Nothobranchius furzeri: one gene and its partner. The protein of the gene in region 1 interacts with the protein of each later gene in a pairwise test. Links are inferred from orthologs where the notes say so. Each region holds a gene or a part of one and is shown on either strand. Other genes may lie near its edges. The genes, in order: myosin-7 and mybpc3.

Evidence for each region.
Region 2: the proteins of myosin-7 (region 1) and mybpc3 interact in a two-hybrid assay, tested with the Homo sapiens proteins (2 studies listed by IntAct). The link is inferred for Nothobranchius furzeri from reciprocal best matches to the Homo sapiens genes MYH7 and MYBPC3.

The regions. Positions count from the first base shown.
Region 1 is NC_091751.1:59,252,835-59,256,651, reverse strand, and holds part of myosin-7, read right to left. Parts: coding exon 3,796-3,817; intron 3,719-3,795; coding exon 3,476-3,718; intron 3,387-3,475; coding exon 3,210-3,386; intron 3,130-3,209; coding exon 2,984-3,129; intron 2,912-2,983; coding exon 2,821-2,911; intron 2,735-2,820; coding exon 2,345-2,734; intron 2,240-2,344; coding exon 2,113-2,239; intron 2,034-2,112; coding exon 1,915-2,033; intron 1,837-1,914; coding exon 1,640-1,836; intron 1,561-1,639; coding exon 1,377-1,560; intron 1,297-1,376; coding exon 1,131-1,296; intron 1,062-1,130; coding exon 937-1,061; intron 846-936; coding exon 537-845; intron 178-536; coding exon 1-177. UniProt on the Homo sapiens protein: Myosins are actin-based motor molecules with ATPase activity essential for muscle contraction. Forms regular bipolar thick filaments that, together with actin thin filaments, constitute the fundamental contractile unit of skeletal and cardiac muscle.
Region 2 is NC_091749.1:64,024,633-64,028,449, reverse strand, and holds part of mybpc3 (myosin-binding protein C, cardiac-type), read right to left. Parts: coding exon 3,689-3,817; intron 2,991-3,688; coding exon 2,873-2,990; intron 2,786-2,872; coding exon 2,737-2,785; intron 1-2,736. UniProt on the Homo sapiens protein: Thick filament-associated protein located in the crossbridge region of vertebrate striated muscle a bands. In vitro it binds MHC, F-actin and native thin filaments, and modifies the activity of actin-activated myosin ATPase.

The DNA of each region.
Region 1 (3,817 bases):
GCTGACATCCATCAGCTCTTGCTCAGCGAGTTTACGACTTCTCTCGGTTTGTTCCAGAGCTGCTCTCAGTTCCTCCAGCTCGGCCTGGATCAGGTTGTTGCGTCTCTCAACAATCGCGATGTTTTCCTTCATGTCATCATTGGCTCGCATAGATTCATCAAGCTGAAGCTGAGCATCCTGGAGATGGACAGGAAGTATACAATGAGGCAAATACATATGTTGGGGGGCGACACAGTTCACAATAATGGCAAAACATTGGTTGCTGTTGACTTCAGTCAGCTTTTTTGTGTATTGCAGTCTGATCCACATGGTTTTGGTTTTTGATTTATTTTGAATGAAAAATGCTAAAATGTTGCTAACCCTTACAAACTCGTGTCTGCTTGCATTCGCTCTCAGACATTTGGCTATCCTAACATATGAAATGGAAATATGTATCAAAATACAATGAAAATACTAAAGTTTGCTTTCTATTTTGAATACTGAGCTGCATTAAGTTTGACGGAATGATTAAAGAAATCTTTGAATAAAGTTCAAACCTTGAGATGAGCGTGAACAGCCTTGAGTTGTTTCTGAGCCTCGGCCGCCTGCCTGTTGGCTTGGCTCAGCTGGATCTCCATCTCATTCAGGTCTCCCTCCATCTTCTTCTTCAAGCGGAGAGCTTCGTTCCTGCTTCGAGTTTCAGCCTCCAGAGAGCTCTGAAGAGTGTCCACAGCTCTTTGTTGGTTTCTCTTATTTTGCTCCATTTCTTCCTCCTTCTCAGCCAGCTTACGCTCGAAGTCAGCCTTTATTTGGTTCAGCTCAAGCTGGACTCTGAGAATCTTCCCTTCCTCGTGCTCTAGTGAGGCCTCGAGGAGAGAAAACACAGATCCAGTGTTAGGAATCATCACCTGATTGAGTGTTTTGGAATTCAAGAGCTAGGTGTTGTTTGAATCCTACCTCTGCTTCTTCCAGAGCAGTTTGAATCTCAGACTTCTCTTGTTCCAGCTGCTTTCGAATCTTCTCAAGCTCATGAATGTTCTTTCCTCCCTCACCAATTTGTTCAGTCAGGTCAGATATTTCCTCTAAGAGAAAAATGTTGACATTCTAGGAATCGTTCTTTGTCGTAAAGTTCTGACCGTTCACTGACTGACCTTGTAAGTTCTTGTTCTCTCTCTTCATGGTCTCCAGATGCTCAAGAGACTCTTCATAGGAGTTTTTAAGTTTGAAGAGCTCCGTGCTCAGAGATCTGGCTTCCTTCTGGGAGCTCTCCAGCTCTGATTGAGACTCTTCGTACTTCTGCTTCCACTCTGCCAGAACCTGAAAGACGATGTATGTTTTATATAGATCATGTATTCTTTAGATGTGGTCAAAGTAACCAAGGGTCACAGAATGCAAACCTTGTCAAAGTTTCTTTGCTTCTTGTCCAGAGCAGCAGCAGCAGCGTTGGACCTCTCCACATCCACCATGAGATCTTCGATCTCATTCTGCAGCCTGTGTTTGGTCTTCTCCAGAGAGGAACATTTAGCATTCACTGCTTCAACGGCCTCCTCGGCCTCCTGCAGACGCTGAGCCAGCTTCTTCCTGAGTAACAGAAGTGGTTTCCAGGGTTAAACGCTGCTAATGTGTCTGAGTTACTCTGGTTAAGTACTCCTTTCCTCACTTTGCTTCCTCCAGTTCCTCGGTCCTCTGGATGGCATCAGTTTCATACTTGGTTCTCCACTGAGCCACCTCAGAGTTGGCCTTGGACATGCCGCGCTGCAGTTCAGCCTTGGCCTCCTGCTCCTCCTCGTACTGCTCCCTGAGGAGGTCACAGTCATGACGAGCAGACTGCACAGCATGGGCTAATGCGTTCTTGGCCTGGAATGAAAGCAGTTGTCTTAATTTGCTTGAATCAGCTTGCATTTTGTATTTGATAGAGTCTCAATTTATTTCTACCTTGATTTCTTCCTCCAGTTGTCTTTTGAGATCTTCAATTTGTTGTGTGTAGGACTGTTTTCCTCGGGTGAGTTGGGAAAGCAGGGAATCCTTTTCCTCCAAAATTCTTGTCAGTTCACCTGATAGAAGCAGGACGTTTTTTTTAAGTTTCCTTATTGCTACAAATTAAATGTTGAAGTTTTGTAATAATGAGAGTACCGTTTTCAGTTTGGAGCTTAGCCTTCTGCGTGGTGAAGTCATTGATGGTTCGCTGTCCCTCGTCTGCCTTTGTTTTATATTCGTTTAACTGGTCCTCCAGAGACCTACACATTTTCTCCAGGTGGTTCTAGGAAAAAAGAACACACACATTCCCAGTGTTAACTCATCTTCAACAACAATAAAGTATTCATCATCAGCCAACTTCCAGTAAAGCACCATTCACCATACGTACCTTAGTCTTGACAATCTGCTCCATGTTGGAGACCACGTCATCAAGTTCCAGTTTGAGCTCGCTCTTCTCCTTCTCCAGTTTCTGCTTGACTCTCTGCAGGTTGTCGATCTGCTCTCCCAGGTCAGCAACGCTGTCAGCTTGTTTCTTCCTGAGTGTAGCGGTGGTGGCTTCATGCTGCAGCGTGGCCTCTTCAAGGTCTCTGCGCAGCTTCTGGAGCTCAGCCTCCCTCTTCTTGTTCATCTCGATCTGGGCGGCTGTGGCTCCTCCAGCCTCCTCCAGCCTCTCACTGATCTCCTCCAGCTCTCTGGCCAGGTCTGCTCTCTGCTTCTCCACCTTGGCTCGAGCAGCTCGCTCTGCCTCCAGCTCTTCCTCCAGCTCTTCTATACGGGCCTAGAACAAACACAAGCTACTTTTATAATCTTCATTATCCTAATAATTTTTAACGTCATTTTGAAGTTTTTTGTGTGAATTTTGACCTGCAGCTCCTTCAGTTTCTTCTGGAGTTGGGCACTCATAACTTGTTCATCCTCTATTTTCCCGTTCAGCTGACTTATTTCAAAATCTTTCCTAAAGATGAAATGAGTCAAAAATATAAAAGGTATTTTCTAAATCTAGCATTCTTTAATTAGGACTTCTTACTTCTTCAGCCTCTCTTCAAGCTGCTGCTTGTCATTCTCCAGGTCCATGATACTTTCTTGGGCCAGCTTCAAGTCTCCTTCAAGCTTCCGCTTTGCTCTCTCCAGGTCCATACGGATTTTCTTTTCTTGCTCTAAGGACCCTTCAAGCTGCAGAGAGTTGTTAAAGAAGAGAATTTGATTAACTTAACTAAATAGTTTTTAGTCCACTTAATTGTGTAAACTCTCACATCGTCCACTTGCTGCTCCAGCTTGGCCTTGGCCTTGGTCAGAGTGTTGACTTTGTCTTCCTCACTCTGCAGGTCATCCAGCGTTTGCTGATGAGCTTCCTGTAAGGCTTTCTTTTCCTTGGTCAGCTTGGCAATGATTTCATCCAAAGCAGCCATCTCCTCTGTCAGGTTCTTGACCTGTAGCCAGGAACGACTTTTATTAGGTTTTCATAGAATAATCAGAAAATCGTCACTAATTTCAGTAAAGTAGCGCATGTCTTTAGTACCTTGTTCTCAGTGGCATGCTTCTCTTTCTCTACTTTTGCCAGAGTGAGCTCTAAGTCATCAATATCCTTCTTTAACTCAGAGCACTCATCCTCCAGCTTCCTCTTCTTTCCAGTCAGCTCAGCATTCATCTCCTCTTCGTCCTCCAGCCTTTCAGTCAGCTCTTTGATTTTTGCTTCCAGCTGAATCTTGCTCTTGATCAGACCCTCACAACGCTCTTCAGCATCAGAGAGATTATCTTGCTCCTATAATTTATTACGTGGAGTGTTGTTATCATACAATGAGATGATTTTGATGTGAACAATAATCTGCTATAACGTACAGTCTGGACTTGGAGCTGCAGG
Region 2 (3,817 bases), on another chromosome or scaffold:
TCTGGTGTTTTGATTGTGAAGCAGCAGGAGATTAGAAAGAGCCAATGCATGCCAGCGTGTGCTAATTAGCATGTAGATAGTCAAAGATCAACACAGTTCCAGCTATTTCAATGATTGTGTTTAGATTTCTTGAGTTCTCCTCATGTGATCCGTCTCCAGACTCGGCTGCAAAACCCAAAACACCGGATTTGTTTTGGCTCAAGTGCAGGGGGACGAAAAAGGGCCACGAGAGAATAATAATTATAATAAAAGGACTACAACCTATTACTACTACTAATCATAAATAAGCACGTTTTACTCTACTAAATATCAGATTTCTCCAAACAAACTTTTTTTTATCAACTATCAGCAAAGTGAAATATTTAATAATATTTTGCACCTAAAACCGTTCCTGTGAAAGTGTAGATCTCATTCTACGTTGCTTCTGTTCCCACTCTAAAATTCAATTTAAAGGACCTGTATTGAACCACCTTGGTTTGAAAGGATCTCCCCTCTGGAATGAAGGTAGTTATTTTCTGATTGTTTCACATGCCGCCGCTTCGCTTCACATCACGAGCAAACGTGAACTTAGTGTGATTTGGCATCATGTGATGACCTTTACAAACAACAGCAAAGGTTTGAGAGTCAAATACAAGGAATAAACACAGAAATGTGGTACCGGCAGTCCAAGCGGAGCGCGGCTCGGAAGGTCGCCAAGGCAAAAACCCGGGCATGGGAGGAGTTCGGTGAGACCATGGAGCAAGGCTCCTGTACGGCTTCGAGGAGATTCTGGTCCACCATCCGGCGCTTCGGGGGGGAAAGCAGTGCGCTACCAAGACTATCTATAGTGGGGACGGTGTGCTGCTGACCTCTACTCAGAATGTTGTGGATCGGTGGGCAGAATACTTCAAAGACCTCCTCAATCCCACCAACACATCTTCCAGTGAGGAAGCAGAGTCTGGGAACTTTGGATTGGCCTCTCAAATCTATGGTACTGAGGTCACTGAGGTGGTTAAAAAGCTCCTCTGTGGCAAGGCTCCTGGGGTGGATGATATCCGACCGGAGTTCCTTAAGGCTCTGGATGTTGTGGGGCTGTGTTGGCTGACGCTGCTCTGCAATATCGTGGACATCGGGGGCAGTCCCACTGGACTGGCAGACCGGGGTGGTGGTTCCCTTATTTAAAAAGGGGGACTGCAGGGTGTGTTCCAAATAAAGGGGGATCACACTCCTGAGCCTTCCTGGTAAGGGCTATTCAAGGGTTCTGGAGAGGAGGGTCCATCGGATTGTTGAACCTCAGATTCAGGAAGAGCAATGTGGTTTTCGTCCTGGCCGTGGAGCACTGGACCAGCTCTGTACCCTTAGGGGGATCCTGGATGGTGCGTAGGAATTTGCCCAACCAGTCTACATGTGTTTTGTGGATTTGGAGAAGGCGTTTGACGCGTCCATCGGGAGGCCCTGTGGGGGGTACTCCGGGAGTATGGGGTACCAGGCCCTCTGATATGGGCTGTTAGGTCCCTGTATGACCGGTGTCAGAGCTTGGTCCACATTGCTGGCAGTATGTCGGGCTCATTCCCAGTGAGAGTTGGAATCCGTCAAGGCTGCCCTTTGTCACCGATTCTGTTCATGACCTTTATGGACAGGATTTCTAGGTGCAGCCAAGGTGTGGAGGGCATCCGTTTTGGTGGCCTGAGGATTAGCTCTCTGCTTTTTGCACATGACGTGGTCCTGTTGGCTTCATCAGAACGTGATCTTCAGCTTTCGCTGGAGCGGTTCGCAGCCGAGTGTGAAGCAGCTGGTATGAGAATCAGCTCCTCTAAATCTGAGACCATGGTCTTGATTCAGAAAAGGGTAGAATGCCTTCTCCGGGTCAGGGATGAGGTCCTGCCCCAAGTGGAAGAGTTTAAGTATCTTGGGGTCTTGTTCACGAGTGAGGGAAAGCTGGAGCGTGAGATTGATAGGCGGATTGGTGCTGCATCTGCAGTGATGCGGGCGTTATACCGGTCTGTCGTGGTGAAGAGAGCTGAGTCAGAAGGCGAAGCTCTCGATTTACCGGTCGATCTATGTTCCCACCTTCACTTATGGTCATGAGCTTTGGGTAGTGACCAAAAGAACGAGATCGCGGATACAAGCCGCCGAAATGAGTTTTCTCCGAGGAGTGGCTGGGCTCTCCCTTAGAGATAAGGTGAGAAGCTCAGCCATCCGGGAGGGGCTCTGAGTAGACCCGCTGCTCCTCCACATCGAGAGAAGCCAGTTGAGGTGGCTCGGGCATCTGGTCAGGATGCCTCCTGGACGCCTCCGTGGTGAGGCTTTCCGGGCACGTCCAACCGGCAGGAGACCTAAAGGTAGACCCAGGACACGGTGGAGGGACTATGTCTCTCACCTGGCCAGGGAACGCCTTGGGATTTCCCCGGAGGAGCTGGCCCAAGTGGCTGGGGAGAGGCAAGTCTGGGCCTCTCGCCTTAGTCTACTGCCCCCACGACCCGACTCCGGATAAGCGGATGAAAATGGATGGATGGATGGAATTTTAGACACAAATAACATGACAGTTTGTTCGTGTTTTGGTTACTGTGTACTGTATGACATTGCTCATTAAAAAGTAGACTAACCCAAAATAACTAAACTGCTTCATGCATTAAGTCAGAAAAGCTACATTTGCAATAAAAAAATACTCAAATCAAAGTTTTAACCATCAAGTATTTTCAAGATAACAATAACAGTTGTAGATTAATTTAACTTCATTTCCCTTTAAATACTTACGTGCGCCTAAAAGCTGCTCTTATGTCCAAACCTTCAGGAGCGCGGGCCTCTGAAAGGCACAGCAGACAGCAAGTGAGTCTTTGTGCAACACAATCAGCAAGGTGACAGGTCCACTAGCATCATAGCTAACACCCACCGTGGACAGTCAAATCAAAATTGCAGCTGTCAAACTTGTCCTTGGACGAAACCTCACATCTGTAACCTCCGGCAAAGTTGGCTTGAGCAGAAATGATCTGCATCTCAAAGGTGTACACCTGCAGCCACAAAAGACAAAGAGGCACTCTCCACTCAGGAGACAGATAGGTATTGTGGAAGTTTAAGCAAAAAAAAAGCCCCCAAGTGGCTGGTTTCAGTACATGTTTTGAGGCTTTCATACCACTTACCAAAAAAAAAAAAACCTCATAACTTCATTTCTGAACTGGTTTTCCTTGCTCAGATCTTGGGAAGCTGGTGCAGCAGTCCTCGGCTGAGAGCCAGGGGACATTCTGGACAGGTCTCCAGTCCATCACAAGTACACTGAGGGACAATTTAGAGTTTCCAATAGCATGCATGTCTTTGGCACCCAGAGAAAACCCACACATGCGTTAGGAGAACATAAAGAAAGGCTCCAGTTTTGAACCTGCAACCTTCTCACTGCAAGGCAATAGTGCTACCAACTGCACCAACATGCAGCCCAAATAAAAAACAAACTCAGTTTTTTGGCCCGATGATGACCGTTGTTGATCTATGTGGCTCTTACCGTGCTGCATCCTGTCCAAGTACTCATTAAAATATTTATGTGGAACACGACTTATGATGAACCATGATTGTGTGCAGGTGAGTAGGAGAGACTCTCAAGACTTCGAAAATATGGTTGTCATTTATAATACTTTGGCCCTCACTTTAGTAAAGTCCAAGCAGATGGATAGCATTGAGCCTTTTGCCCGTATTTAGCTGTTTGGTGTTGGCGTACCTTTGTGTTGCGATCAAAAGTCTCTTTTAGCTGCAGATGTTTCCCACACTTGCTGGAGAGGTCCATCCACTTTCCTTTGAACCATTTGATGCTCGGTTTCTTCAGCAGCGATTCAGCGTTGACTTTAGC